Mus musculus: one gene and its partners. The protein of the gene in region 5 interacts with the protein of the main gene of each other region in a biochemical or structural test. Links are inferred from orthologs where the notes say so. Each region holds a gene or a part of one and is shown on either strand. Other genes may lie near its edges. The genes, in order: Arhgap35, Mcf2, Kctd13, Arhgap32, Rhoa, Smurf2 and Pld1.

Region 1 (3,010 bases), on a different chromosome or scaffold from region 5:
TGGGTGGGTGGCAGCACCCTCCGTCTGGCCAGGAAGCAAGCAGTCTTTCTGCATCAGAGTGCCTGTCTCCAGGGGCAACCAATGAGCAAAGAATGGTGTTCTTTATGGTAGAATCTGTGGATGGTTCGTCTTGGGAGCTGGGGGGAGGCAGGAAGCCCAGGCACACAGTACTGCCCTTCAGCAGGGGCCTGGGACATAGACCCCAGTCCAGGTGTGCGGCCATGGGTGCAGGCTCTGGGCATGACAGTAGGATGGGACTGGCCTCCCGGAGGATTCCCAGAGCACACCTGGGCTGGCCGCCAGCAGCCACCTGTCTGTCCTACCAACTGCTCTGTATCCATTTGGTGTCCTCAAAACTCCCACCAAACTCAGCCCTGAAAGCCTTTCATTTTTCTTTCTTTCTTTTTTTTTTTTTTTAATTTTGTAATTATATTTATGTACAGAAAACTTAGTGTACATTTAACCCAGTGTAGTGCCGAGTTCTTTAGCCTTTGCCTTTTCCAGCTTGGCCATGCGAGCCACAGACTTAGGACCCAGGACGTTGCCTCCCCAGTGGCGACGGATCTCGTCATATCTGTCATTATAATTGGTCCTAATAGCTCCCACCAGCTTAGCCAGAGCACCCTTGTCTTCCGAGTTAACCTGTGTGAAGGCAACAGTGGTGCATGTCTTCCTGTAGACCAGGTGCCCCAGCCTGGCCTTTCCCTTGATGATGCAGTAGGGCACTCCCATCTTTCGACACAGGGCAGGCAGGAAAACCACCAGCTCAATGGGGTCTATGTCATGGGCAATCACCACCAGCTGAGCCTTCTTGTTCTCCATCAAGGTGGTGACTGTATTGACTCCTGCTTGGAGGACAGGTGGTCTCTTAGTTGGGACGTCCCCTTTGCCAGCAGCTTTCTTCTCAGCACAGATCAGTAGCCTCTTTGCTTCTTCTCTTGCTTTGTCTCTGGCCTGTACTTGTGGACAAGCTTAAGCAGCTGAGTAGCTGTCTGCCTGTCCAGGGCCTGGGTGAACGGGTTAATGGCAGGAGGGACTTTGAGCCACTTGTAGAGGATGGCTCTTTGCCGCTGCAGCCTGATGTAGCGGGGCCATTTGACAAAGCACATTAAATCTCTTTTGGGCTGGATGTCCTGTCCAGTGCCGAAGTGCTTGGGCCTCTTCTCGAACAGAGGGTTGATCACCTTCTTGGCCTCCTGCTTCTTGACGACGGCGGGGGCCAGGGCCACCTTCTTCCCCTTGGCCTTCTTCCCTTTGGGCATCTTGCTCGGCTGCTGGAGAGACCTTTCATTTTTCTCTTTCAGAAATCAACGACAGGGAACAGAAGCTGCATGCTCTGAAGGAAGTGCTGAAGAAGTTCCCGAAGGAAAACCATGAAGTCTTCAAATATGTCATCTCCCACCTGAACAAGTAGGTTTAGGAGCTGCTGGTTGTTTTTCCTCCTGTATAAGCAGCATGTTGGGTTAGTTAACTGAGGGAGAAGGCCAGCAGGGCCTGCCCTCATGTAGCATAGCTAGGCTCGTGGCATCCTTACTTTCCATTCTGGCTCTGGCTCCAAGTCTGTGGGGGGTGACAGGGTAATTTCTCTGGCAGGTGCTAGAGCCTTCAGAAACTTCACAGTATTAAAAATGCCAAGAGCTTCTCACAGCTGCTCCTCGTCCATGTCTCGGTGCTCGTGTGAGACAGATCACATATCAGGAGGGGTGCCTTAGGACAGAGCAGCCTGTCCTATGATGTGAGCAAAACCCTTTACTGATAACCAGGTTTAGCCACTCATGGTGGGACTGTTGGCAGAGGGATAGATAGTTTTTGGAGCCATGCACTAACTTCCTGCCCATCCCAAGCATCATCACCAATTTGGTTGATAGCCTGGGCCCTAAAGCTCCTTGAAGCTGGTGACAGGTTCAGGTAGAAGCTGGGCAGGCAGGGAAGACACCCCTGAGGCCCTGTGCAGATCTCACCTGCCTTTGCTGTCACCTACAGAGTCAGCCACAACAACAAGGTGAATCTTATGACCAGTGAGAACCTGTCCATCTGCTTCTGGCCCACGCTGATGCGGCCTGACTTCAGCAGCATGGACGCGCTCACAGCCACGCGCTCCTACCAGACCATCATCGAGCTCTTCATCCAGCAGTGCCCCTTCTTCTTCTACAACCGGCCCATCAGCGAGCCTCCAGGGGCTGCGCCTGGCTCCCCTTCAGCCATGGCTCCCACTGTTCCCTTCCTCACCTCTACACCTGCTACCAGTCAGCCATCACCTCCCCAGTCACCTCCTCCAACCCCTCAGTCCCCAATGCAGCCATTGCTGTCCTCTCAGCTCCAAGCCGAACACACGCTGTGAGCCACCACAGCCCAGGAAGCAGGAAAACCAATCGTCTTCTTGACAGGGTGGCATTTGGCCTTGAACAAAATCAGGTCCCCTGGGGTGGAAGTCACAGCCAAGCGCCTTTTTAAGACTTGAGTGGTGGCACTAGCCAGTGTCCCCCATGGCTGGGCAGTTGAGCACCTGCTCTTCACCTGCCCTGGCTATGGCTGTGGCAAGCTGTGAGCCCTCGCCTTGTCTGGGCCAATCTGAGGACTGAACTGACCAGATAGCGGCCCCATCACCCCTACTGCTCCTTGGACCCCTTGGCCCAACCTGTCTGCCTGCACCAGCGTCAGGCCCCACCATCGGGACATCACCCCAGCCTCTGCCAGGGGCAGAGGTAACCCCAAGCAGGGCTGGCCCCTCTAAAGAGGACATTTCCCAGTTTGTCCTTTCTTGTCCATACCTACACACACCTGCAGCGGGGGTCTGGGGAACATGTGGGCTATGGCTCTGCTACCCCGTAGGACACACTGGGTCACTGGCATGGCCCAACAGCACAGCAAGAGGAGAGCTTTGTGCCTATACCCAGTGTGTGGCTTTCCTCCAACCCCTTCCCAGACTTGTGATCCATTCCCTGCAGCAAAGGAACACTGGAAGAAAGATGGAGCTCCTCCACAGAGACAGAAAGAAACCACAGCAAGA
Region 2 (4,085 bases), on a different chromosome or scaffold from region 5:
TCTGAGACAAGGTTTCTCTGTGTAGCCCTGGCTGTCCTGGAACTCACTCTGTAGACCAGGCTGGCCTCAAACTCAGAAATCCACCTGTCTCTGCCTCCCAAGTGCTGGGATTAAAGGCGTGTGCCACCACTGCCCGGCTTCTATAGCTTTTCCTTTTTTTTTTCCAGATTATAATTTATTTACCAGATTTCTTTTTTCCCCCTTCCCTCCCTCCAGCCCCTCCCCCCTACCTCCCTGCTAGCCCTTCAAAGTCCTGCTGCTCTAGCTTTTGTTATGAGCAGCTAGCTTTCCCTTACTCTTCCAAAGCTTTCTTCTGGGGAGCTTTGGGCTTAGGAGAAGGGATTGGCTGGGACCTCCCATCCTTTCTCACTTGGTTCTTCAAGAGGATGTCTTGTCTTGCTGCCACCCCCCCCATTCCCCTGGTCAGTTTGTTGTTATTTTTCGTTTTAATTGCGTATGTGATGTTTTTGAGACAGGATCTTTTGTAAGTAGCCCAGACTGGCCTGGAATGGGCTATGTCGCTGGAGATAACCCTGATCCTTCAGAGTCCATCTCCTACCCAGAAGTGCACACTAGGAAAACACTCTACCAACTGATCTGTATGTTCAGATTCGACTTTGGTTATTATTTATTTTTGTGCATAACATATGTATTACAGTGCATGTAGAGGTCAGGGAACACTTATGTGGGATCAGTTCTCTTATTATACCATAACTTACACAGGGTTCCTTTAACCCAGGTTGATCCAGCAAGTGTTTTTTACCTCACAGTCTTCTCAGTAGCCCATTTCTATTTCCTCCTTTCCTTTTTAAAGCAAGTCAGGAAACTTGGGCGAGTGCAGGCTGGTGGGGGGCAGGGTGGGAGAAGGCACATTCAGGCTAGAGCTCCAGCCCTTTTGGACTAACCAGGGCTGCTTTTCTGGCATCAGCAAAGCTCTCCAACAGTGTTATCTGCAGGTGCCCACACTGTGTATCCTTACTCCACTCCTGCCCTGCCCTGAGAAGCAGGATGCAAAGGAAGAAAACTCTTGACTCCAGCTCCCACTGCCTAGAGTGAGAGGTCGGGCGGTCTCCTCCCTACACGTGCTCCAGCCTTCCCTACCCCTCCGCGGGCGTATCTGTGGGGGCTGTCCCCTCTGGTTCTCGGTGTCCCGCCCCTGATCCATCCTGTTGGAAACTAGGCGGGGACGTGGGTGTACATCCACTCCGAGCGGAGTTGCTCAACTCTCAGTAGCTGAGGTCAGAAGTGCTCTGCAGCCAGAGTCTTGAAATCTCTGCAAGTTTCTGGGCTCCCTGTCCTGGGGCTTGTTGGTCCCAGCTAGGGGGCTCTAGTCTTCTAAGCCACTGAGCTGCGTAGACTGCGACCCTTCTGGCCGCGTCTGTGCTTGCACAGACGGGCTGCTAGCGAGCCAGAGTCCGGCAGTGGCCAGTTGAGGTTGGGGTCACCAACTAGCGAGTCTGGCTTGAGGATGGCGGAAGCAGGGCCCCCTCCAGCAAGGTTCCCTCCAGCAAGGCTCCCTCCAGCAGGGTCCTCTCGGGCTGGGCTCCCTCCAACAGGGTCCCCTCCCGCTTCCACTCCGGCCCTGGCCTCGCAGTGGCTGGCGGTCAAGCGTTTGCCTAGGGCTGCCGCCAAGGCGCCCAATCTCCAGCTGAATCAGGACCACTGTTCTTTCGTGCCGTTCACGCAGGCGGTCCCGGTGCAGGTGGACATGGCCATGGCCCTGCATCGCGTTAGGATCGCGGAGAAGTACGGGAAGAACTACCTCTGCTTGCTGCAGGCAGTCTTCCTAGCAGGTGAGTACCACATCCCTGTGCACTCCCACTCAGTTGCCTGGAACACTGGGCTCTCTCCCCTCTTCCCGGCTCCCTCCTCAACCTGTTCGGGTAGGGGATGTCTGGTGCACTTTGTCTTCTCTGCTCTCTCTCTCTCAATCAACCTCTCTCTCTCTCTCTCTCTCTCTCTCTCTCTCTCTCTCTCTCTCTCTCTCTCTCTCTCCCTCCGTCTCTGTCTCACTCTCTCTTTCTCCCTCTCCTTTCCCTGCCCCCATTCACTCCATAATCCACCCCCCCTGCTGTGGCACTCCTAGTTTAGAGCCGCCCAGACTGTGGACCTCAGTTCCTCAGGCCAGCTGCCACTCTGAGGATGTGTGTGGCTCTCTGCTCAGCTCAAGCCCCGCAGGTGGACCCCCAGAAGCCCGCCATGCAAGGTGAGACTGTTCCAGGTCTCTTCCTCACTTCCCACCACCACCCACCTGGATGCCTCTTGGTGGAGTTGGGAATGTTAAGGGAGGAATCTTCCTACACCGCATTCTGTACCCTAGAGCGGAACCTTGCTGAGGAGGAGGATGCAGATGCACTTCCCTGTAACACTCCCTGTAGTTTTTAAAGCGAGGTTTATTTACTTGTGTGGGTGGTTGCTGTTTGTTTCACGTACGCGTGCTAGGGCCAAGTCAAAAAGGCGCTTGGATTCTGAAAGCCGCGGGCCTGAAGTTGGAGGAGGAGTTTGCAGGCAAACTGCGGTCAAGAATTTGGGTTTTCTCACTAGGACCGCCACTTCTTTCCAGCCTGGTCCTATGAGCTTCCTGTCTTCCTTCAGCTCTTACTACAAAGGCGAAAGGCTCTTTCTTACTTGCCTTGGAGGGACAAAACCAAAGCTAACAAATGTCTTAACTGCTGCCACTGTTTTGGTAAAAAGCTTAAGAGTAGTGAGAGGCGGCACTTGATGTATACATATTGAGCTAGTCGGAGTTGCTTGGCTTTGGACTCTTGGTGTACCGTGAAGCATGCAGAGGCTCCTAAAATTTAAAGTTCCTCTAATACCATTAGCAGTCCAGGAATATCCGCCAGGTGCTGCAGCTCTGGCCATGTCTTTTGTGCGTCTGTGGTGCTTGCTTACCCTGCGGTGTTCCTTGTAATGGGAATTTGGGAATTAAAAACTAGACATGGTGTAGTTTTTCTTTTCTCAAATCAGGTAGCCACAGTGTGTGTTCCAAATTCCTCTTCTTGTTTGAGGCTGTCCACGAATTGGAAGGAGGTCACGTCGATGACTTCGGTTAAACCACAGGAAACCCAGGGCTCTGTCTAAAGCTTGGTAACAAAGAACCCTTTGGTCTTGAGTATTTTGTTTGGAAGCGGTCAATGTTATTTTCTGTATGTAATAATAAATCATTAAGGGAAGTGTGGGAGTGGGGCACACACTTTTTCAGGGTTTCAGGGCAGTTTAAATGGATGTGGGAGGCAAAAAAAAAAAAAAAAAAAAAAAGGAAGCCTGTGCACAAGTCGTGTGCAGTGGGGGCTAAAGATCAACTTCGTAGAAAAAAAACACATAAAAAATGAAACAGTCTCACTTTGTAGCTCAGGACCAGCTCCAAATAATCCTCAGTGCTGAGAGGGCATAGGTACATCCTCATGTCTACCACCACTCATAACACATAGGCACTCACATGTACACACACACACACACACACACACACACACACACACACTTGTATGGATACGAGAGAATGAGGTGTTCTGGGGCCTGTGTGTTGGATGCTAGGCAAATGCTCTACCTCTAAGTTACAATCCTGGTGGGAAAATGCCACAAAAATGAAATACAAAGGGATGATTCTATTGCCAGGCATTTCTTTCTTTGTTCTCAGTTCATTTTCTTGATCCTTGGAAGTTTCTAACATGCTGCCACTGTGGCATGGCAATACATCCTAGCACTCTGTTGTGTTTTAGTGGAGGTGGGGGTGGGGAGAGGGATACAGTAGTGGGGTAGGGAGACTGGCAGCTATTTGTGTTCAGGTATTTTTCAGCAGTTACCACCATGTCCCTGCAAAGATAAGTATATCTGTGGCTGGGACACACCCTATAGGATATTATAACTTTATGTTGTTGTTGTTGTTGTTGTTGTTGTTGTTGAGGTGGGCATTTAAAAAACTTGCCTATGTTGCTTTTGAGCTCCTGGTTTAAAGGATGTGCTTCAACCTCTAGAGTAACCAAAATTACAGGTTTGTAACCCCGTGTACAGCTTGGGACTTATTTTGCTCTTTTCAAAAATACACTGTTTTGTTCTCTTTTTAGTGCGTATATGTGTGGGAG
Region 3 (3,500 bases), on a different chromosome or scaffold from region 5:
CAGTCCTCCCTCCCACCCTCCCCAACCCCCTCTGACCTTGGTCTGCTTCTTCTCCGTAGCATAGACTATGGAGGTACAGCACACCTCGGCAATTTTTCGGCCCTGCCCGTAGAAAGACCAGCAGCAAATCTCATCTCCTAGGACATCCTTGAGGAAGAGCAGCCGCCCATGGAAGCGCAGGGCTAGTTTGTCAAACAGCTCGATGTTCTTCAGTAAGTTGTCATCTGAAGTGCTGAGAACCAGGGGCAAGCGGTTTTAGGTGACTGTCTTCCTTCCCTCCGCTCCCCCCAGTGGGGCCCACATTCCCAGTCTTGTGCAGCAGGGCACTTCTGACTGTGTAGGCCTCTGAGGGGACACATTTGCAAGGCAAATTACTGCCTAGCACAGAGGCTCCTGGTGCAGGCTGTCACCAGGCACCCCAGCACTGCCACATTTTAACTCGGCAACATTAGGCAGGTTACGTAATCCTCTGGTGCCATAATATCATCTCTAGTTGGAGACCAACACATCCTCAGACCACTGGGAACACAGATAAATTAACAGACAACACTGAGAACAATCCTGTTGGGAAATAAGGGACTAGCCTATGCTAACTATTATCACAGGCTTTGCTTGAACCTCATTTACTGACGACAGGTGGCACAGATGGGATGGGACATTCAACAGGCAGGCATTCTGCAGTCTCTCCATATGACCACAGTCCTCCATGGAATATAATAGTAGAGCTCTGCCAAACCTAGGATTCTGTGGCTGTAAACACACAGAGCCGCCCCGCCCCCACTCGCCCCGCCCCGCCCCGCCCCGCCCCCGCTCACCTGGTGTAAGAGTACTTGTTGTTACTGCGGTTGTGTAGAAGCTTCACCACAGGCTGTAGGGAGGCAGAAGGATGCAGTCAAGAGACTGGGAAACAAAAGCAGCCATCACAACTGCCCAACCCACGGGCTCCAGGGCCTCACCTTGGAGGTGCTGGCCAGGAGCTGCTGCTCTTCCCGGGGTGATGTCACTGTGGGGATGAGGCATAGTGGCGACAGCTTCTCCCTTTTTTGCTGGAGAGGAAGTGGAAGTTGATTAGCAGTACAACTGGTGTTGACTCACACCACTTAAATAAAGGCTGTGTGACTCTGTTTGGGGGTTGAAAATACTCTTCCATGTCTCCAAGGCTCACTAGGATGTGACCACTCCACGCCACTCTGGCTGTCTTGTGCAGTGGTACAGCTAGTGTATAATTTAGCATGCCCAGCTAAGAGGTTTATTTTTTGTGTGTTTGTGTGTGTGTAAAATTAACATGAAAGTCCAAGCATGGCAGCAGGTCCCCAAAGGCCCATCTACAAGAGTCTAGCTGTCTGCCCTCCCCATAACTCCACCCTTAGCCTACCAACCTGCTGTTCTGCAGGCACACACTGCATGGGTCAGCCTGCTAGGGGTGTGCTGCATTGAGCTGTGTGCAGCTCAGCATGCTGACCCACAGGCAGTTCCACTCCTGCAGTTACATAGCTTCCTTGGGTTCGGAGTATTGGTTGCTTCTCTTCACAGCACTTAAGTCTGTGCCTGCGTCTGTTCTGACATGTGCCTCCTGAGGACTGTACAGTGATGACCAGTGTAAGCACACTTTGCTGAATGACTGAGTACAGCGAGGTTGTTTATCTCTGGAGGGCCGGGGGTTGGACCCAGGACCGTGAGGGCATCCCAAGCGAGGACACTGAGGACACTGCCGCTGACTTATACCAGTTTTTTTTTTTTTGGGGGGGGGGGGGGTTCGAGACAGGGTTTCTCTTAGTAGAAAGAGAGTAGGTCTATATAGAGTGTGAGGCTATGTAGTCCTGGCTGTCCTGGAACTCACTTTGTAGATCAGGCTGGCCTCAAACTCTGCCTGCCTCTGCCTCTCAAGTACTGGGATTAAAGGTGTGCGCTACCACCACCCAGCTACTCTGCACCATTTTTAAAAATAAAAAATTAACTTTTAAAATACTGAGACAGCCTTACTAAATGACTTGAGTGGACAGTCCTTTGCCTCGGCTGTCTCGGTGACACACGCCTCTAATCCAGCACTTGGGAAGTGGATGCAGGAGGATGTCATGGATTTGAGACCAGCCTGATCTACAGTGAGACCTGTCTCAAAAACAAACAGAACAAAAAACAATCCTCCTGTCTCAGCGTCCCACATGTTGAAATGTCCCTTTAGAAACATGTTAGAGGAATGCCTGTCTCTAACGCCACAGTCTAAGACAATTTCCAGAAATTGGTTTTGAGACTTATTTTTTTTTTAAAAGACAGATAGGTTTCTCCATGTATCCCAGGCTGTCCTAGACCTCACTCTGTAGACCAGGTTAGCCTCAAACTTAGAGCTCTACCTGCCTCTGATTCCTAAGTACTAGGGTTAAAAGCCTGTGCCACCTTGCCCAGCTAAGAGGTTTTTGTGTGTATGTGTTTATGAGTGTTCATATGTACATATAGAATTTAAATGGAACTGTAAGGCCCAACTACTAGAGGCTGAGGTGCAAGGGCCGCTTAAACTTGCGTCTGTGAGAATGGCCTAGACCTAACTCTCATAGAAAGTACAGAGGAGAAACGTAAGTTCATCCAATCAGGAGACAGGAGGTAGACGCGAAGCAGAGCCACAGTGCAGGTCTATACAGAGTGTAAGGCTATGCAGGACTCTGCGTTGAGATTGTCTCAAAACAAAAACAACCAAAGACAGGAATGTGTATACTGTAACGGAAGCACTTGGGAGGCAGAGGCAAGTGGTTATCAAGTTTGAAAGCAGCTTGGGCTACTTAATAAAACTACCTCAAAACAAAACAAAACATCAATGGAAGCATAGAAGTCTGCAGTTACTGCCAGTTTTGAAGCGGTGAGTCTGTAAGGCATAAGGATCCACTACAAAGGCAAAATAATGGAAACTGCAGTTTTGGCACAGAGACAAAATAAAGTCCGACAGAAACCTGTGGGTGTGGCAGGTGAGAGCTGAGGAAAAGCGCAGGAAGCAGGACACACACCTGTTCTCTGTGCTGTGTAACAAATGGCCCCAAATGCCACAGCCTCACTTAAAGTAAGGTCTTTACGGTTCCTTTTCCTCTTTGGTGAGCTGCTCAGGCCCTCAGGCTCTCCCATGAGGCATGCACAGCAGGGGTGTACAGGCATCTGAGAGCACTACTGCTTTTTAGGGATCACTTTCTAAGACATATGGCTGCTATGTTCACATGGTTGTTGCATGAGGGACCTAACCTTTGCCACTGGACCTCTCTGTAGGGCTGCTTGAATGTCTTTATAACACAACAGCTGGTTTCTCCAGAGAAAATAATGCAAAGGAGAAGACGGACAATGGACAGCTCACTGTCTTATGACTAGCTTCATCTGCCTTAAGTCACTGGGAGCTCTCTCAAGGTTGGCTCCATTAATTCATTGCTCCCAAGATTGTCCAAGTCTCATCACTACACTGGCAGCTCAAAGCAGAGAAAATCTGAACTAGGTTCAGGATGGGATAAGGCCATTTGGGCACA
Region 4 (3,500 bases), about 76 Mb from region 5:
GCTATCTTCTGAGAAGCATGCTTAGGCTGTGAGACGGGGAGTGGCACGGGCATCACATCATCCACTGAGGCTGACGAAGGGACAAAGGAGTGGTAATTTGAACTGCTGGTGGCATCTGCAGCGCTGGAGTGCAAGGCAGCAGCCATCTTGCTCTCCATTGTCCGTGTTGGGGGAACTGGGGCAGCAAAGCCACAGGAATGGCCAGGAAAAGACTCAGCACGTAAGTGGAGTGGTGGAGCCCTGCTGCTTTCCCGAACCTTCTCAGGCAGTCCAGGCTGAGGAGCAGAGGCGCCCATGGGACACTGGGCAGCAGCAGTGCCATCACTGAGGAAGATGGGTGCGGGGTCACCCATGGCCCGAGACTCAGGTGGCCTCTCGGGAGCTGGAGCCGTTCCCTGGACCTGTGGGAAGACAGCGATGTTAAGAGTCTGTTGTTTAACACCAACCCCTCAAAGCTAAATGCTAATACATTTATAAGGGGCAAACCCAGGCTATTTGGGTGACAGCTCAAACTTTGTCCAAGCTCTTCAGTTACACTGAACCTGACCCATAGCCCCCCAAAAAAGAGTATGTGTGTGTCTACACAGTACGCTATTACCTATGGAGACATGTGTAGTGTTTGCTAACTCCTGCTAGGGTTGAAATGTGAAGAGAGACTGCCTACAATGGTATCTTAATGTGCAGAACCAATGACAGGATTAGGCAAAAAAACCAGTGCTGGGCCTAAAAAAAATAAACATCCTACCTATTGGTCTCAGCACCAAGAAGATTTTATTTAATGAAAGCAGCTGATTTTATCAGCTGGCAGGAGTTTCAGAGTGACTCAGTTCCATGTAGCAAGCAGTTTTAAACTTCCAGATACAGGGAAGAGTTTCAAAGTGACTTGTCTGCAGTGGCAGCATGTGAGGGCTTACTGCCTCTGCGTTTTGTCCATCCTGTCAGTGGGCCCACAGATAAAATATGTTGTCCCTGAGAGGTAAGTTCTACAGCTAGTACCCTCCAGGAAGGGCCAGAATTTTAACTCCTTTTGGTTAAGGTTACCACAAAACCTGTAGGAATTAGGAAAACTCTTTGGCACTCTGTATCTAGCACTCCCACCCCCCCAACGCAGGCATTTGAACTATGCAACACAGCTGCTCACAGCAGGGAAATAACAAGAACTCCAGATATCATCACTCCTTAGACCTCTGAAAGCCCTGGAGATGAAGTACCTTCAATACAGACATCAAGGGTTGGGTAGTCACAAGGTGGTCACATGACTCACTCTCAGTCACCTGAACAGTGAGGCAGCTGGAAAAGACAATCACTACTGCAGCCCTGGGCTCCCTCTGCCTCATTCTGTCAGTGTGTCCCCGTGAAAGAGCTCAGTGCTTCAGGAAGGAAGGAGAAGCAGCAAGGATAGTTAAGCTGCAGTCACCAGGGGCTGCTCTGTCATTACACAAAGCCAATAGCCAGGCACAGGCAGAGACCGCCTGCTTCAAATGGCAGATTCCATGGAAATCTGCCACCTGACTGACACGCATCTGACTAAAAGATAATACATCCTACCGAATGGCATACCTTGGGAAAAGTATACTACTTCACTGACTTCCTCTCTAGCTTACCTTGTGGGAATTATTTAATCCTATACTTGGTGCTTCTTGTACCTGCCCCACAACTGGTGGCTGCTCTGCAGGCCTCTGGGAAGGAGGTGGAGGGAGGGGCCGATTAGTTCTGTGCGTGCGCTGAAGGGTGGCAGCCACAAAATCAGCAGCCGAGGGCTGCTCAGCCAGGACCCTGCTGGCCTCGCTGTTGCTCGGTTCCGCTCTTGCTGGAGTTGCCATCATGTAAGCCATGGTGGCTGTGCTGGAATTCTCTTCAGGGGACCCAGAGAGAGGGTGGTGGGCTTTGTCCCTAGGCAAAGTAGAAGGCATGGGAGATTTGTCTGTAAGTTCTGAGGAATGGTGGGGTTTATCCACACTGGTACCAAGGTAAGAGAGGGGCTGATCTCCACAGGAGAAATGGAGTGGAGACTGGTCCTGCTCCAAAAAGGAGACAGTGGACACGCTGCTCTTCCCAGCGTGGTCTTCAGGGAAACTTCCATGATCATCAGACTTCTCTGAGTCTGTTAAGGGAGCTGAAGTGCTTCTAGCCTTTTCTGGATCCCCAGATATATGGTTTCGATGTAGCGAATTCCCTATTAAGTCTACTTGGTGGAGTTGCTCCCCAGAGTCAGTTGTGTTGGACTGGGTGGGACCTCCCATAGCTGCTGCCTCAGGGAGAGGCTGGTTACAGTTTCCGAGTCCATTGATCTGCGGGTGGAACTGCTCTGCTGGCCGGTCCGTTTGGAAACAGGTTTTATCTAGAGTAAGGCTAGAGTAGGAACTAGGCAGCTTCTCTTCAGATGGAACGACTGCCGTGTCTCCATAACTAGTGCACCCAGCCTGGGAAGCCCCTGGTCTCTTCAGTGTCTGACTTGAGGCTTGCTGTGCAGACTCAGCTAACGCTAGTGCCAACATTCGGGCGACATTTTTCGGAGGCGGTGGTGGTGGGATAAGAGAGACTGAACTGACAGGAACGGGATCCTGAGGGGGGTCATGGGTAACTGCTCCTAGTGGGAAATTGGGAAAAAAAATTAGAATGAAAAGGTAGCTTATGTTACCCTATACGGAAAGCCAAACACTCCCCATGTGATCACTAAAAACATAAAAATATGCCTTCCATATTTCAAAATTGCAATCCATGATCTTCTATCCCACATGCAAATGCTGCTGAAACCACATCTGGTTGAAAGGGAAACTACCACAGTGTTAAAGGCTGCCAGTCCTCTTGAACTGCTACAGAGGGTGGAGGGAAGCAGGCCTCCACTGACTTAGAAAAGGTCACTTAGAGCACAAGCTTCCAGTGCTCAGACTGTGATGGTACTGCTACACTGGCTTGTCAACTTGTAAGGCTAGAATAGAATATGCATTAGAAGAGAAAACAGAATCAAGAGCTACACAGTTGTGCAAAAATTATCCATGAATCCTGACTGTCCAGAGACTTAAGGGGTCCTTTGTGAAGGCTCGCAGCAGGACCATGGGCCCTTTGGGGAGTTTTGTTTGCTTCATTTTAGTTTAGGGCTTTGAGCCCTCAGCACCATTCAGAAAAACATTCTTTGATTCTAGCCTAGCTGTGGAGAAGGCTCTCTTAAAAGGCACAGATGGCACACAGGACGGAAGACCCCTTTTAGCTTAGAGAAGGAACGGAGGAGAACAAACAGTACCTGTCTGACTCTGTCCAGACGGTACAGCCTTGCTCTGACTGCTCAGGACAGGCCGCTCCTCTGTCCCTGGCAACTCTACTTCTTCAGCTGCCCCCTGTTCCAGGGGCTGTGCTTCTGGTTCACAGGTCTCCTGTGCCTCTCTCTCACCTGCTTTCATCTTTCCTAGCTGCAGCTGGGTGGGGGATCTATTTATGACATCTCTTTCTTCCACACTTTTGTCCCAAGATGTAGGTGATGCATTCTGAGCTACAGTATT
Region 5 (4,126 bases):
CCACTGCCTGGCAGAGTCTGAGTTGTCCTTGTTTTCTGGTGTACTGTGACCTCTGCCGTGTGGTAGAAGCTCAGAGATTAGCTGAATGAAATGTCCTGATAAGTAAGCTGTTGTTTTTAGAGATTAGGAGGTTGACTTGATGAGGTCGTATGCTAAGAATAGAGACTGTTAGGCTGGGGGTTATAGCTCCAGTGGTACAGTACTTGCCTAGAATAGATGTTCTTGCCTTCCTAAAGAAAGACTTCCCAACCAAGGGATTTGTTTTCAATAGACCTGGCACATCACCTTTCTGAAATTAAGGTAACACCACCATCCATCCCCACTGAACATGCTGATGAGAGGCTCTAAAGCCACTGGGAACCCCCAACTGGAATCCTGAGCTCTACCATTAGCCTTGAAGGATTCTTGCACAGCCACTAAGCTGGTGCACTCACATGCTGAGAGTTCTCTGCCTGTCAAGCATGGGGTTGGGATAGACAGAGATTTACTCACCATGAAGAGAAATGTGTGGAGCCATCAGGTGTGGATCCATTCTGGCCACCCAGACCTGGAGGCAGGAACACACCCATAGCTGCAGGAGGCTGAGGGTGGGGATCTGAGCAGGCAATAGCCCAGGTCAGGTCAGGGGCCACTGGTATAGTTTAATAGAGATTGAGGCTGGGATACTAGGGACTAGTGGTATTGTCCAGGAAGGGTTTTGAGAAACAGTTAACAACGTGATGATGGGCATGAGGGGCTTGTGGTGTAAAATGGTACGGGGTTGTAAGTCTGGGTACAGTGAGGCTCCTGGAGGACCAGTGGTAGTCTATGTGGACACAGGAGAACCCAATGGTACAGTATGGTGGTGGTAGGGACAGCCGGGCCAAGGAGGTTCGTAGGGAGCCTCACCTGGACGGTGATACAACCCGGTCACTGTGTTCCCGTAGAACCCCCAGGCCAGCTGGATGCCCAGGAGACTTAACACCAACCACAGCAGGAGCAGCTTGAAGAGAGTCACTCGCATGTCTTGTGTCTCCCACTCCCGCAGAAAGTCGCTGCCCAGGGTGCCCAGCGCTCCGAGCACCGTGGCGGGCAAAGCTTGCAGAAACTGCCCGGCCCAAGGCTCCGCCATGACTGGCCAGCGCCCCACCGGGAGTACTGTCACCGTAGTTCTTACTGCGCAAGCGTATGGTCTTCCGGGGTTAGGCCTGTCAGTGCGCACGCGTAATACAAGGCAAGGAAGATCTACTTCGCTTGCGCGAAGTGTTGGCAGTTTGGGGAGGGGTTTTTAAAACCGCGCAGGCGCACCCAGCCCCACCCTGCTTGCTTAAAGGATGAGTGATTCGGTGAGGATAAAATAGCAACTCGCTCTTTTATAGCCCCGGTGTTCCCGTCATGCTCCACGCGTCTGCCATGATTGGTTAAGCGTCTAGCTCTCAGGGCGTGGATGCGTTCTTGAGCAATCGTGGCTGAACTGAGAGTGTGCGCGCGTGCGCGGGGCCGCGACTGGCGCCAGCTCGAGCCCGCAGGGCGCTCGGGGCCGCGCACGTCGCTCCCCGCCCTCCCGCCACCGCCCGCCCTCGTTCGCTCGCGCTCCCCGCCCGCCGCCCGCGGTCCTCCGTCGGTTCTCTCCATAGCCCGCCGTCTCCCACGGAGCTGCCCGTCCTTGGCTCGGAGCTCGCGGACTCGCGGACAAGCGTCCTCAGCGCGAAGAGGCCGGACTCGGAGTCCTCGCCTTGAGGTGAGCAGGAGCATTTCCCTCCAGCCGCCTCGGCTCCGGGCCCGGCTGGTCGGCTGATCGGCAAGCACTTTTCCGGCCTCCGGCCCGTCGCCTGCCCGCGGTCGCGCCCCACCTGCTGCTCTCGGCCCGCAGCCCCTCGCCCCGGCCCCTGACCTGGGGCCCCGCGCCCGAGGCGGCGGCCCCGCCCGCGCAGTCCCCGGAAGCGCGCCCCGCCGCCTCCAGTCCCCCTTCCCCCGCCCGGCCGGGCCTGGTGGAGCCCTAGCCGCCCGCCCTCCTCGTCGCTTCCTCTCAGGGTTGCGCCGGGCTGGGCGGGGGCTCCCGGCCGGTCCGCGACCGCGCTGGGGTAGCCTGCCACTGCGAAGCGCGTGTGGCTGTCGGGAGTTGGACTAGGCAAGAAACTCTTTTACAACTCCATTTTGCCTTTTGCATTGAACGTGGATTATTAATCCCGTTCTATACCGGGTGAAGACAGTGAGGGTTTGGGTGGATTTTCTGTTTTGAGTGCCGTATTATTGGAGATTGTGTAAGTAAAAGATTGTTTTGAAATCTTAGCGGTTATGACTCTATGGGGGAAGGTATTTTCCAGTCGAAAAAACACATAATAATTTGGCGAGGTTGCATCAAAATAGATGCATTTCTGCTTAAAGTTATTACTTCAATTAAGAATCACTGATGGGTTCCCCTTTTCAGGTCGGTTTCGTAAAATTGCATTTTTTGCAGGCAAGTTGATTTAAAAAAAAAAAAGTTCATGTTTAGTAGCTGATAGTGGAAAATTTGACACCATTTTTTTTCTTTTTTGCCCCAGAATTGGTTCTACTTGTATTTTCTAATAGTCATCACTAAATTTTGACCTATTAGTTATTTATTTGGTTTTGTCTTCTGGTATATTTTGAAATAAGTGCTTTTTGCATGTTATATATAACATTATATATGTATAATATGTAGTACACGTATAATGTACATCCCCCATGCCAGTCTGAAAGGGGAAAACTTATATTTTAGGATGCGGTATGTGGTGAGAATTTTTAGCCACTTAGTGTCACGTGCCCAAATGTGTATGTACCATGTGGAATGTTTTTTTCACCTTTCATTGGCTAGTTTGAGCATTTGACTCACGTATTATTAAACTAAGAAAACAAGATCAGGTCTTAATATTGAAGACTCTGAGATGTTGTTTGGAGTATTTCTCCGGAGCAGTGACGTTTCTTAGGGACATAAAATATATGGAGCTTGTTTTTTTCCTATTTTATTTTCCTCTTTGGTGTTGGCTTGGGACACAGTGAACAGGTGCTGTATCTCTGAGCTGCATTTCAGCCTTACAACTTGGGATCAAACTCTAGTGCTCAACTTACATAGCTTCTACTCAAAAATCTACTGAACAGGAGAATAGGAACATCCACTCTACTGATTGTACCCCCAATAGATGTAGTATTTTAGACTGGGGAGGAAAAAAAAAACTTTAGGATTTACAAACCAATTCCGTTTGTAGGTGTGGGAACTGAGCTTAGGGAATTTTTTTCTCTTTCCTTCTGTGTGTGTGTGTGTGTGTGTGTGTGTGTCTGTCTGTCTGTCTCTCTCTCTCTTTCTTGAGAAAGGCTTATTACTCCGCAGAGAGAACAGTGGGTGTGATAATACCAGAAGAACCACTGACCTAAGACTTAATTTAAAAAAAAAAAAAAAGACACTGGGTCTGACCTGAGACCTGGAACTTAATTTGTAGATAAAGCTGGTCTCTAATTTCCACATGCTCCTAGTGCTGCCTCCGGAACAGTGCTGGGATCACTGGGTGTGTGCCACCATTCCTGCTGAGACTTAAAATGTTTGAAGGTCATACATCTAGTTAGACTACAACTATTTTTTTTTCTGTTATTCTCCATGTGCTGTCAGTTAAAATCAGAATTTCCAGGTTACTTCAGGTTCTTTACCATGCAGATTATGCATATTTGGGAAACAAATTTCATGTTTTTGTAAGTAGTTCCTTTCTGGCTAGGCCTTGCCTTTGAGTGTGTTGGTTTTCTTAAGGACCGGGTTTTGAGAGTTTACTGTTAGCAAAGATAAGGTAATGAGGTCCAGCTAGAATGTTTTCAAGACTCCTTTGAGTCAGTTTTAAATGGAATTGGTGAGAATTTGCATGTATCAAGTAGACCATGGTCTGTACATGTGTGAGAGTGGTTTTGTTGGAGTGATTTCATAGTCCTTTAAAAAGTCCATCTTGCTCTATTAGGGGTGTAAGTAAGTTACTAGAAGAGTGAAAACAGATCTTCAGAGCTGGGTGTGGTGGCACACGCCTTTAATCCCAGCAGGCGGATTTCTGAGTTCGAGGCCAGCCTGGTCTACAAAGTGAGTTCCAGGACAACGAGGGCTGCACAGAGAAACCCTGTCTCGGGAATAAAAAACAAAAACAGA
Region 6 (3,500 bases), on a different chromosome or scaffold from region 5:
GGTGTGTTGTGTTGTGTTGTGTTGTTTGATTTTGAGGTAGGTTCATTATGTAGCTCTGGCTGATATAGAACACACAGAAATTCACCTGCTTCTGCTGGGTTTAAAGGTGTGTGTGTGTACATGCATGTGTGTGTGTGTGTATGTGTGTGTACATGCATGTGTGTGTGTGTGTGTGTGTGTGTCTGTGTGTACATGCATATGTGTGTGTGTGTTTTGTTTTTTAGATGACACAATCTTGGTCTGTAGCCCAGGCTGGGCTTGAGCTTGCACTCTACCTATGTCCTCAGCCTCTGAGTGCTGGGATTATGTTATATGCCACCATGCCTCATGTGTTACTTGATCCTTATTAGTTGGCATTCTCTGGTCCTATGATGGGAATTTGGAAAGTTTTTCTAGAATTGCTTCACCTTTTTGAGCTCTCGGCTTGAGAAGTTCCAGGACTTTTTCCCCAATCTTGGTGCTGATCTCCCTCTTCCCAGCTGCCACTCAAGTCCCACTTGAGCGCACCCCATCGGGGAGTCCGTTCTCTGTTGAACAGAACCAAGTCAGTTCTTCGTTGTTATTGTGAACTGAAGGTTCTCAGAACTTTGCTTTGCCTCTTCTGTAGTGGTTCTCAAGCTTTAGTTGTTCTGCAGCAAAGGAGTGGCCAGGATCATTTTAAGCAGAAATCAGAATCATTATTTGAAGAAATCTCTAAGAGCTGGTAATGCCTCAGTGGACACTGTTCATCTTCGCCTGCAGCCTCCAGTAACTTGGACACTCTGGGATGGTCTCCTTCTGTAGAAGTTTTGCTCTAGCAGGACAGGATGAAAATCTACACTGCTGTTGCTGGTTCATAAACAGCCGGAAGGGAGCAGTACACATAGAACAAGGTTAGGGAGGGCCAAGATCTTCTATGCTTCTAGGCACCCCAACCCCACCAGCCACCTCAGAGCATTCAGCTGCGTTCTGTGTGGTCCTATATATCCTTATGGTGTGTGATACAGTGGTCCTTGTCTGCTAAAAGTACTTGATCTTTTCTTTGTTGCTACAATAAACCTTAAAACATTCTTCTTAAGTATCCTTACCAGGTTTTTCTTCATGAAATTTATAGACTTCAAAACTTTAAAACAACATATTTTGTTAAAAAAGAAATGTTATGATTATTTCCAGGATCAGGATTTTAGTAATGTTTCCAGTTTTGCTTGTTGAAGAACAGTACAATCACTCATTGCATGCACATTTGTTTACACCCAACTTTATGATATAATAAAGAAAGAAAATATTGAATAGAAATTTTTTATATGGTTGACGCTTGTAAAACAATACTTTCTGTCAAACAAATATTGAAGTGTAGTTTATGTTGGCAAGTAGTATGATTGCCAGACTGTGTGATAAGTTTTGATCCATTTAGGAATTGGGTGTTGAATGTGCAAGTTTGTGAAACCGTTGGGAATTAAAGATTCCAGCTGAGCATCTCAAGTTTCTGAAACAATACATTCTCTCAGACTTCATGGAATTGCTCTGTGTCACATACGCTGCTTGGCTCAGCAAGCCCAGTAATGAGGTATTTCTGTTGTATATTTGTTTTGCAGGGATCTTAGCAACATCAATTGTGAAGAGCTCGGTCCTTTGCCTCCTGGATGGGAGATCCGCAATACCGCAACAGGAAGAGTTTATTTCGTTGACCATAACAACAGAACAACACAATTTACAGATCCCCGGCTCTCTGCTAACTTGCATTTAGTTTTAAAGTAAGTTTTGAAGCAGTACATGTGAAAATATTGTTCTAAACAAGAGGATATATATGTGCTTTTTATAATGTGAAAGAATATGCAATCTCTTAAATTTACAATATTGATTTATATTTATGATGAGTTCTCAAGGGGATAGTCCAGGTTGGCTTTGAATTACTGGTGTGGCCTGACAGTTCTTCCTGCCACTGCTTCTTCAGTGTTTGGATTGTAGACATGAGCTACCATGCCTAGCTATAATTTACTTTTACTGATCAGAGTATATGAAAGAAAATGGGATATTTTATTCTGACGTAGTGCATATCTTACTTTCACTGTGCTCAAACAGGAACCAGTACTGAAATGTTAGAAGAAGTATGCATGAGAAGTGCTCAGGCAAGAAGGCTGTTTACAGAGGCTGTAGCTTGACCAGAAGCTGAGACTGAGCAGGCTACTTCTGTGTTGCCATCCTATTTCATACAGCTGATAACAGTGACTGACAGAAATCTCAGTAGCACTTTCTGTGTGTAAAGTGTTGTTCTTGCATGTATTAAGTTTCTTCCTGGTAAATATTTCTCCAGATGAGGGAACAAGCAGAGGTTGACTCTCTATAATTTTCCCAACTTGAAGTGCTCCTAGATTCAGACCTATCAGTGCTTTGGTTTCTGATCATGTCTGTACTGCATGGTTTTTGTACCACATTTGCATCTTTTACTTTGATTTCTCTCTAGTTGCCCATTTTCTCCCAACCTCATTACTTACTGGCATTGTCTTCTGAGGAAACAAGGGAGGAAAGGGAGCGTCATCATCAGGAAAGCAGCAGTGTGTCTTTGTCACCAGTTTTGGGAAAGATACTTGGGTAGTGGTAGAACAACAGACCGTGGCTTCTTTGAATCCTGAGAACAAAGTTGTATCCACAGAGTAACTCAATTTAGAATCTCTAAATAAATACTACCTGCTCTGCTTTCTTCATTCATTAATGTGTGCAATAAATATTGTGCTAAATGTTAGAATAGAATAAAACTAATAGAGGTCAGGGATGATTTTGGGAAATATTCTTGCTTCATTAATTTTTTTAGGGGTAGATTCAATAGGATAAATTAAATGAGAACTGGCTACTACTTGTTTAGAATAATACAAAAGAACCCATTTAATATGTGTCTTTGTTGCTGCTTTGAAAAAAATTGGGGGTGGGGAGGTTGTCTCTTTCCACCACCCTCCCCCAACAGGCTCTTCTTGATCTGGCCATTCTAGAACTCACCACGTAGACCAGGCTGACTTTGAACTCAGAGGTCCACCATTCTCTGTCTCCCTAGTCCTGGGATCAAAGGCGTGCGCCACTATGTCTAGCACTTTTAATATTTATGATTACCTTGTCAGAGTCATTATGTTAATAGACCTTGTTTGTTTGTTTGTTTGTTTTTCGAGACAGGGTTTCTCTGTGTAGCCCCTGTGAACATGATGGTATAGCTGTGCCCTAAATAAATAAATGAATGTATTAAAATATTTTTATTTTTCGTGGGTAGTAAGTTCAGATCAATCTTTTACTAACTCTATGAGCACTGGTAAACCCTTGTTAGTACTGACTTTATTTACCCATCTGTTCACCCTCCCTGGCCTTGATTTCCTTATGGGATACCCCAGTAAAGTCATGGGCCTAACACTTGGTTCGTCTTCTTTTTTTTTTTTTTTTGGTTTTTTGGTTTTTCGAGACAGGGTTTTTCTGTGTAGCCCTGGCTGTCCTGGAACTCACTCTGTAGACCAGGCTGGCCTCGAACTCAGAAATCC
Region 7 (3,183 bases), on a different chromosome or scaffold from region 5:
TTTATAAGGCTTATCATTTAGAAGAGGCATTAGTGATACCCTGTACCCTGTCCTCCATAGGATGTAGAGCTCTCATCAAACACATCAGGGGCATATGACCAACCAGTCATGAGAAGGTGGAAGCTGAAAACATTTTGGATATAATGGGATCAAGCTGGACATGACACGGTGGAATTTTGTGTCTTAGACACAGGGATGATGTTGATTCTGTAGGTACCTGTCCATGTTTTGATGCAACACCTTCTGAAATTCCCAAGGGTTTAGTGCTCTGATGTCTGAACCATATGTCAGTTAGCAAAGGGTTATACTTACAAACACTAAACGTGTTGCCATATGTGTCTTTCAAAGTGAAAAGTTAGAGAAAACAGAACTTGCAGTTTTCCCCTTTGACAAGAATCTCCAGTGAAATTTGAGTAGGGCAATTGTTTTAAAATTTCCATTTAAGCAAGTGTTCCTTACTGCTATCTTGACTTTATTCTGTGGATAATAGCACTGGGATAAGAATGTGGGAGTGGCCTTTTAAAATGGAAACAGATGAGCAGTGTTTTAGCAAAGAAAAGCTGCAACTAAGGTTGGTTGGGTTGGTTGAAACCAGGACTTACTACATAGCGCAAGCTAGTCTTACACTTGTAATTCTCCTGCCTCAGCTCCCATGTGCAGGATTACAGGCATGTGTCACTTCACCCAGCTGTGAACAGTAACCCATTCGGCTTGTGCTGTGACATAAAATGAATGTTTTACAAAACATTTTGCCTGTTGGAATGATTACCTTTCATAAAGAACCGGGGCTTGCCCTTAAGCAAGTGGCTCAGCTTCCAATTTGTATCTTAACAGGTCTTCCGGTGCCTTCCCAATGATGAAGTACACAATTTAATCCAGCTGCGGGACTTTATAAACAAGCCCATATTAGCAAAAGAGGATCGCCTTCGCGCCGAGGAAGAACTGAGGAAGATCCGCGGGTTCTTGGTGCAGTTCCCTCTCTATTTCTTATCAGAAGAGAACCTGCTGCCTTCTGTTGGAACCAAAGAAGCCATTGTGCCTATGGAGGTTTGGACTTAAACTGTTTGCAACTGAGGGTCTTCCAACCTGAAGACCACAGTTCATATATGTTCACTTCTAAGGACTTCACAGCCAGAGTTGGGCCTGATGCCTCCTGTCACCTACCCACTGGACTCCTTCAGAGTGGTTGGGTGTGGCAGTGGTCACCCTGATATAAGGACACTGGACATAAGCAGATCTTCATCATTCCCCCTACTTGTCCTTGAGAAAAACAGCTACGTTCTTGTCGATAGCATATGCTCAGATAACACCAAACACAGACACAAATTACATCATGTATTTCAAAACCCATTTCCTTTGCTAACAAGACTCTGCCTGTGACCGTGATCCATACAAGTTGCCAAAAGTTGCCTGAATGCTCTTGTTCTTAGGTTCATTTATGCATCTGGGGCCCACCTTGTCATCCATACAACACTGTTTAAGAGATTGCTTATTAATGAAAGATGTTGGAGAGCTGCTTTGATGGTCCTCAAGGATCTAGATGATGCCTGTACCCAACCTGATCCTAATGTGAGCATATCTACTAAGCCAAGACATTGTTCTTTGTTCTTTTTCAGTCACTGTAGGGACAGAACAGGCTTTGCCTACCTAACTACATACATTAAGCACTTCTAAGGACATCAATACTGTATCTTAATAACAGGAAGGCATTAAATCCTAATACTGAAGAAGGATTTCCCTCTGTTCCCAAAGATACTGCCCAGCTGTGTCCTTGTCATCTGATAACATTTGTCAACATGTGCAGCATATGTCAAAACATTGTAACCAGATACGCACAGATGGGACCTCCAAGATGTCAGTGGGAATCCAGTTCAGATAAAGGACAGGATTTCTGTCTGTCTGAAGAATCCATGTCCTCCTTAGCCACTGGATTGACAGAACCAAGTTGATTTTCTCCATTATAAGGCCAGTGGATGTAATTTGTCTTTCAAGTGAATCAAAGGCTTTACCTTCAGTTTTCCACTATACCTTCTTTAGGGGAAAAGGCAATTGATTATACAAGACCTCTACTTTGCTTGAACTGTTAACCATGTTGTATCATTCCAAGACAGCTCCCAAAGAAGCTGAAACACTAACTCACATTGTTCCGATCTGAAATGTGGGTATCCACGCTCCCTCTCAGCTGGTATTATGCCCTTTGTAGACCAAATTTCAGAGCTCCTCTTGCATCCTGGGAGGGTCTACAGGTTCCTGGAAGCCTGGGACTTGTGCATACGAGGTACCTATGTGATTGTAAACAAAAGGGATTGCTGGAGTAAAATTTCCTTTAAGGTGCTCTTCAAAGCAACTCCCAACCCATGTTTTCATGAATAAACGTGCTGGTGTAAAAATGACACAGGACCACAAAGCCAGTGATATAGGTTAGTAACAGAGTGACAGTTATATCCAAGGGAAGATGTGTCATCCCTGAGGAACATTGTACAAATGAGGTAGGATTTGTAATCAACAATGGAAATTAACATGTTTTTATGAATAAATAACTTATTTCTTATATGGCCAAGGATGGTGAAATCATTTCATTTTGTAGTTTTAGTGAATAAGACACTTTATGCAGATAAAGATCTGATTATATTTAAGATATTCAGTGTATGTGGAGTACCTGAAGGCTTACTGTGTTTCATTTAAATTAAAAAAAAAAAAACCTTAAAGCAGTAAAAAAAAAAATTGGTTCTTGATTTTGTACAAAATGTTCTCATTAGACCATAAAGGTCTGGCACAGACCTATAATAAATCATTTACTTTAACCCTCCCCATGGTACAGCAGAGGGTTACATTGGAGGAAGTAATGATGTAGACCTGCCCATCAGATGTACAACAGACTCCTGCACCCAGTGTTAGTCTCTCCTCACTTCATTATTACCCCAGACGAAGGACATGGAGGTTTCAGACAGGGCGTCTTCTGCTCTTTCGAATCCTGTAATCTGTGTTTCTTTGTCTCCACTACTAGAATGGTACCTGGACACGGCAGAGACTTCATAGGTTGTTTAGTTTGTCTTCAGACTCTGAAACAGTGCCTAGTACAAAGGACATGTGGGTAAATGTTTGTGGAGTGAAAATATTATACAGGAGAGGGAGCTGATGAGCTGCCACACTAAGTTTTAGGACACGCGTCCCACTGCTGGT

Evidence for each region.
Region 1: the proteins of Rhoa (region 5) and Arhgap35 form a complex in vitro, tested with the Homo sapiens proteins (3 studies listed by BioGRID). The link is inferred for Mus musculus from reciprocal best matches to the Homo sapiens genes RHOA and ARHGAP35.
Region 2: the proteins of Rhoa (region 5) and Mcf2 form a complex in vitro, tested with the Homo sapiens proteins (2 studies listed by BioGRID). The link is inferred for Mus musculus from reciprocal best matches to the Homo sapiens genes RHOA and MCF2.
Region 3: of the proteins of Rhoa (region 5) and Kctd13, one has a biochemical effect on the other in vitro, tested with the Homo sapiens proteins (2 studies listed by BioGRID, with this or other methods). The link is inferred for Mus musculus from reciprocal best matches to the Homo sapiens genes RHOA and KCTD13.
Region 4: of the proteins of Rhoa (region 5) and Arhgap32, one has a biochemical effect on the other in vitro, tested with the Homo sapiens proteins (3 studies listed by BioGRID). The link is inferred for Mus musculus from reciprocal best matches to the Homo sapiens genes RHOA and ARHGAP32.
Region 6: of the proteins of Rhoa (region 5) and Smurf2, one has a biochemical effect on the other in vitro, tested with the Homo sapiens proteins (3 studies listed by BioGRID, with this or other methods). The link is inferred for Mus musculus from reciprocal best matches to the Homo sapiens genes RHOA and SMURF2.
Region 7: the proteins of Rhoa (region 5) and Pld1 form a complex in vitro, tested with the Homo sapiens proteins (2 studies listed by BioGRID, with this or other methods). The link is inferred for Mus musculus from reciprocal best matches to the Homo sapiens genes RHOA and PLD1.

The regions. Positions count from the first base shown.
Region 1 is NC_000073.6:16,496,984-16,499,993, reverse strand, and holds part of Arhgap35 (rho GTPase-activating protein 35), read left to right. Parts: intron 1-417; exon of another isoform or gene 418-1,281; intron 1,282-1,304; coding exon 1,305-1,410; intron 1,411-1,983; coding exon 1,984-2,341; 3' UTR 2,342-3,010.
Region 2 is NC_000086.7:60,176,290-60,180,374, reverse strand, and holds the start of Mcf2 (proto-oncogene DBL), read left to right. Parts: upstream 1-1,285; 5' UTR 1,286-1,468; coding exon 1,469-1,793; intron 1,794-4,085. UniProt on the Homo sapiens protein: Guanine nucleotide exchange factor (GEF) that modulates the Rho family of GTPases. Promotes the conversion of some member of the Rho family GTPase from the GDP-bound to the GTP-bound form. Isoform 1 exhibits no activity toward RHOA, RAC1 or CDC42.
Region 3 is NC_000073.6:126,938,879-126,942,378, reverse strand, and holds part of Kctd13 (BTB/POZ domain-containing adapter for CUL3-mediated RhoA degradation protein 1), read right to left. Parts: intron 1,047-3,500; coding exon 957-1,046; intron 869-956; coding exon 816-868; intron 233-815; coding exon 37-232; intron 1-36. UniProt on the Homo sapiens protein: Substrate-specific adapter of a BCR (BTB-CUL3-RBX1) E3 ubiquitin-protein ligase complex required for synaptic transmission.
Region 4 is NC_000075.6:32,255,803-32,259,302, reverse strand, and holds part of Arhgap32 (rho GTPase-activating protein 32), read right to left. Parts: coding exon 3,245-3,500; intron 2,591-3,244; coding exon 1,605-2,590; intron 402-1,604; coding exon 1-401. UniProt on the Homo sapiens protein: GTPase-activating protein (GAP) promoting GTP hydrolysis on RHOA, CDC42 and RAC1 small GTPases. May be involved in the differentiation of neuronal cells during the formation of neurite extensions.
Region 5 is NC_000075.6:108,304,834-108,308,959, forward strand, and holds the start of Rhoa (transforming protein RhoA precursor), read left to right. Parts: upstream 1-1,326; 5' UTR 1,327-1,720; intron 1,721-1,963; exon of another isoform or gene 1,964-2,243; intron 2,244-4,126. Other genes in the region: Tcta (T-cell leukemia translocation-altered gene protein homolog), read right to left, coding at 493-595, 889-1,111. UniProt on the Homo sapiens protein: Small GTPase which cycles between an active GTP-bound and an inactive GDP-bound state.
Region 6 is NC_000077.6:106,844,216-106,847,715, reverse strand, and holds part of Smurf2 (E3 ubiquitin-protein ligase SMURF2), read left to right. Parts: intron 1-1,574; coding exon 1,575-1,733; intron 1,734-3,500. UniProt on the Homo sapiens protein: E3 ubiquitin-protein ligase which accepts ubiquitin from an E2 ubiquitin-conjugating enzyme in the form of a thioester and then directly transfers the ubiquitin to targeted substrates.
Region 7 is NC_000069.6:28,130,680-28,133,862, forward strand, and holds the end of Pld1 (phospholipase D1), read left to right. Parts: intron 1-834; coding exon 835-1,059; 3' UTR 1,060-2,683; downstream 2,684-3,183. UniProt on the Homo sapiens protein: Function as phospholipase selective for phosphatidylcholine. Implicated as a critical step in numerous cellular pathways, including signal transduction, membrane trafficking, and the regulation of mitosis.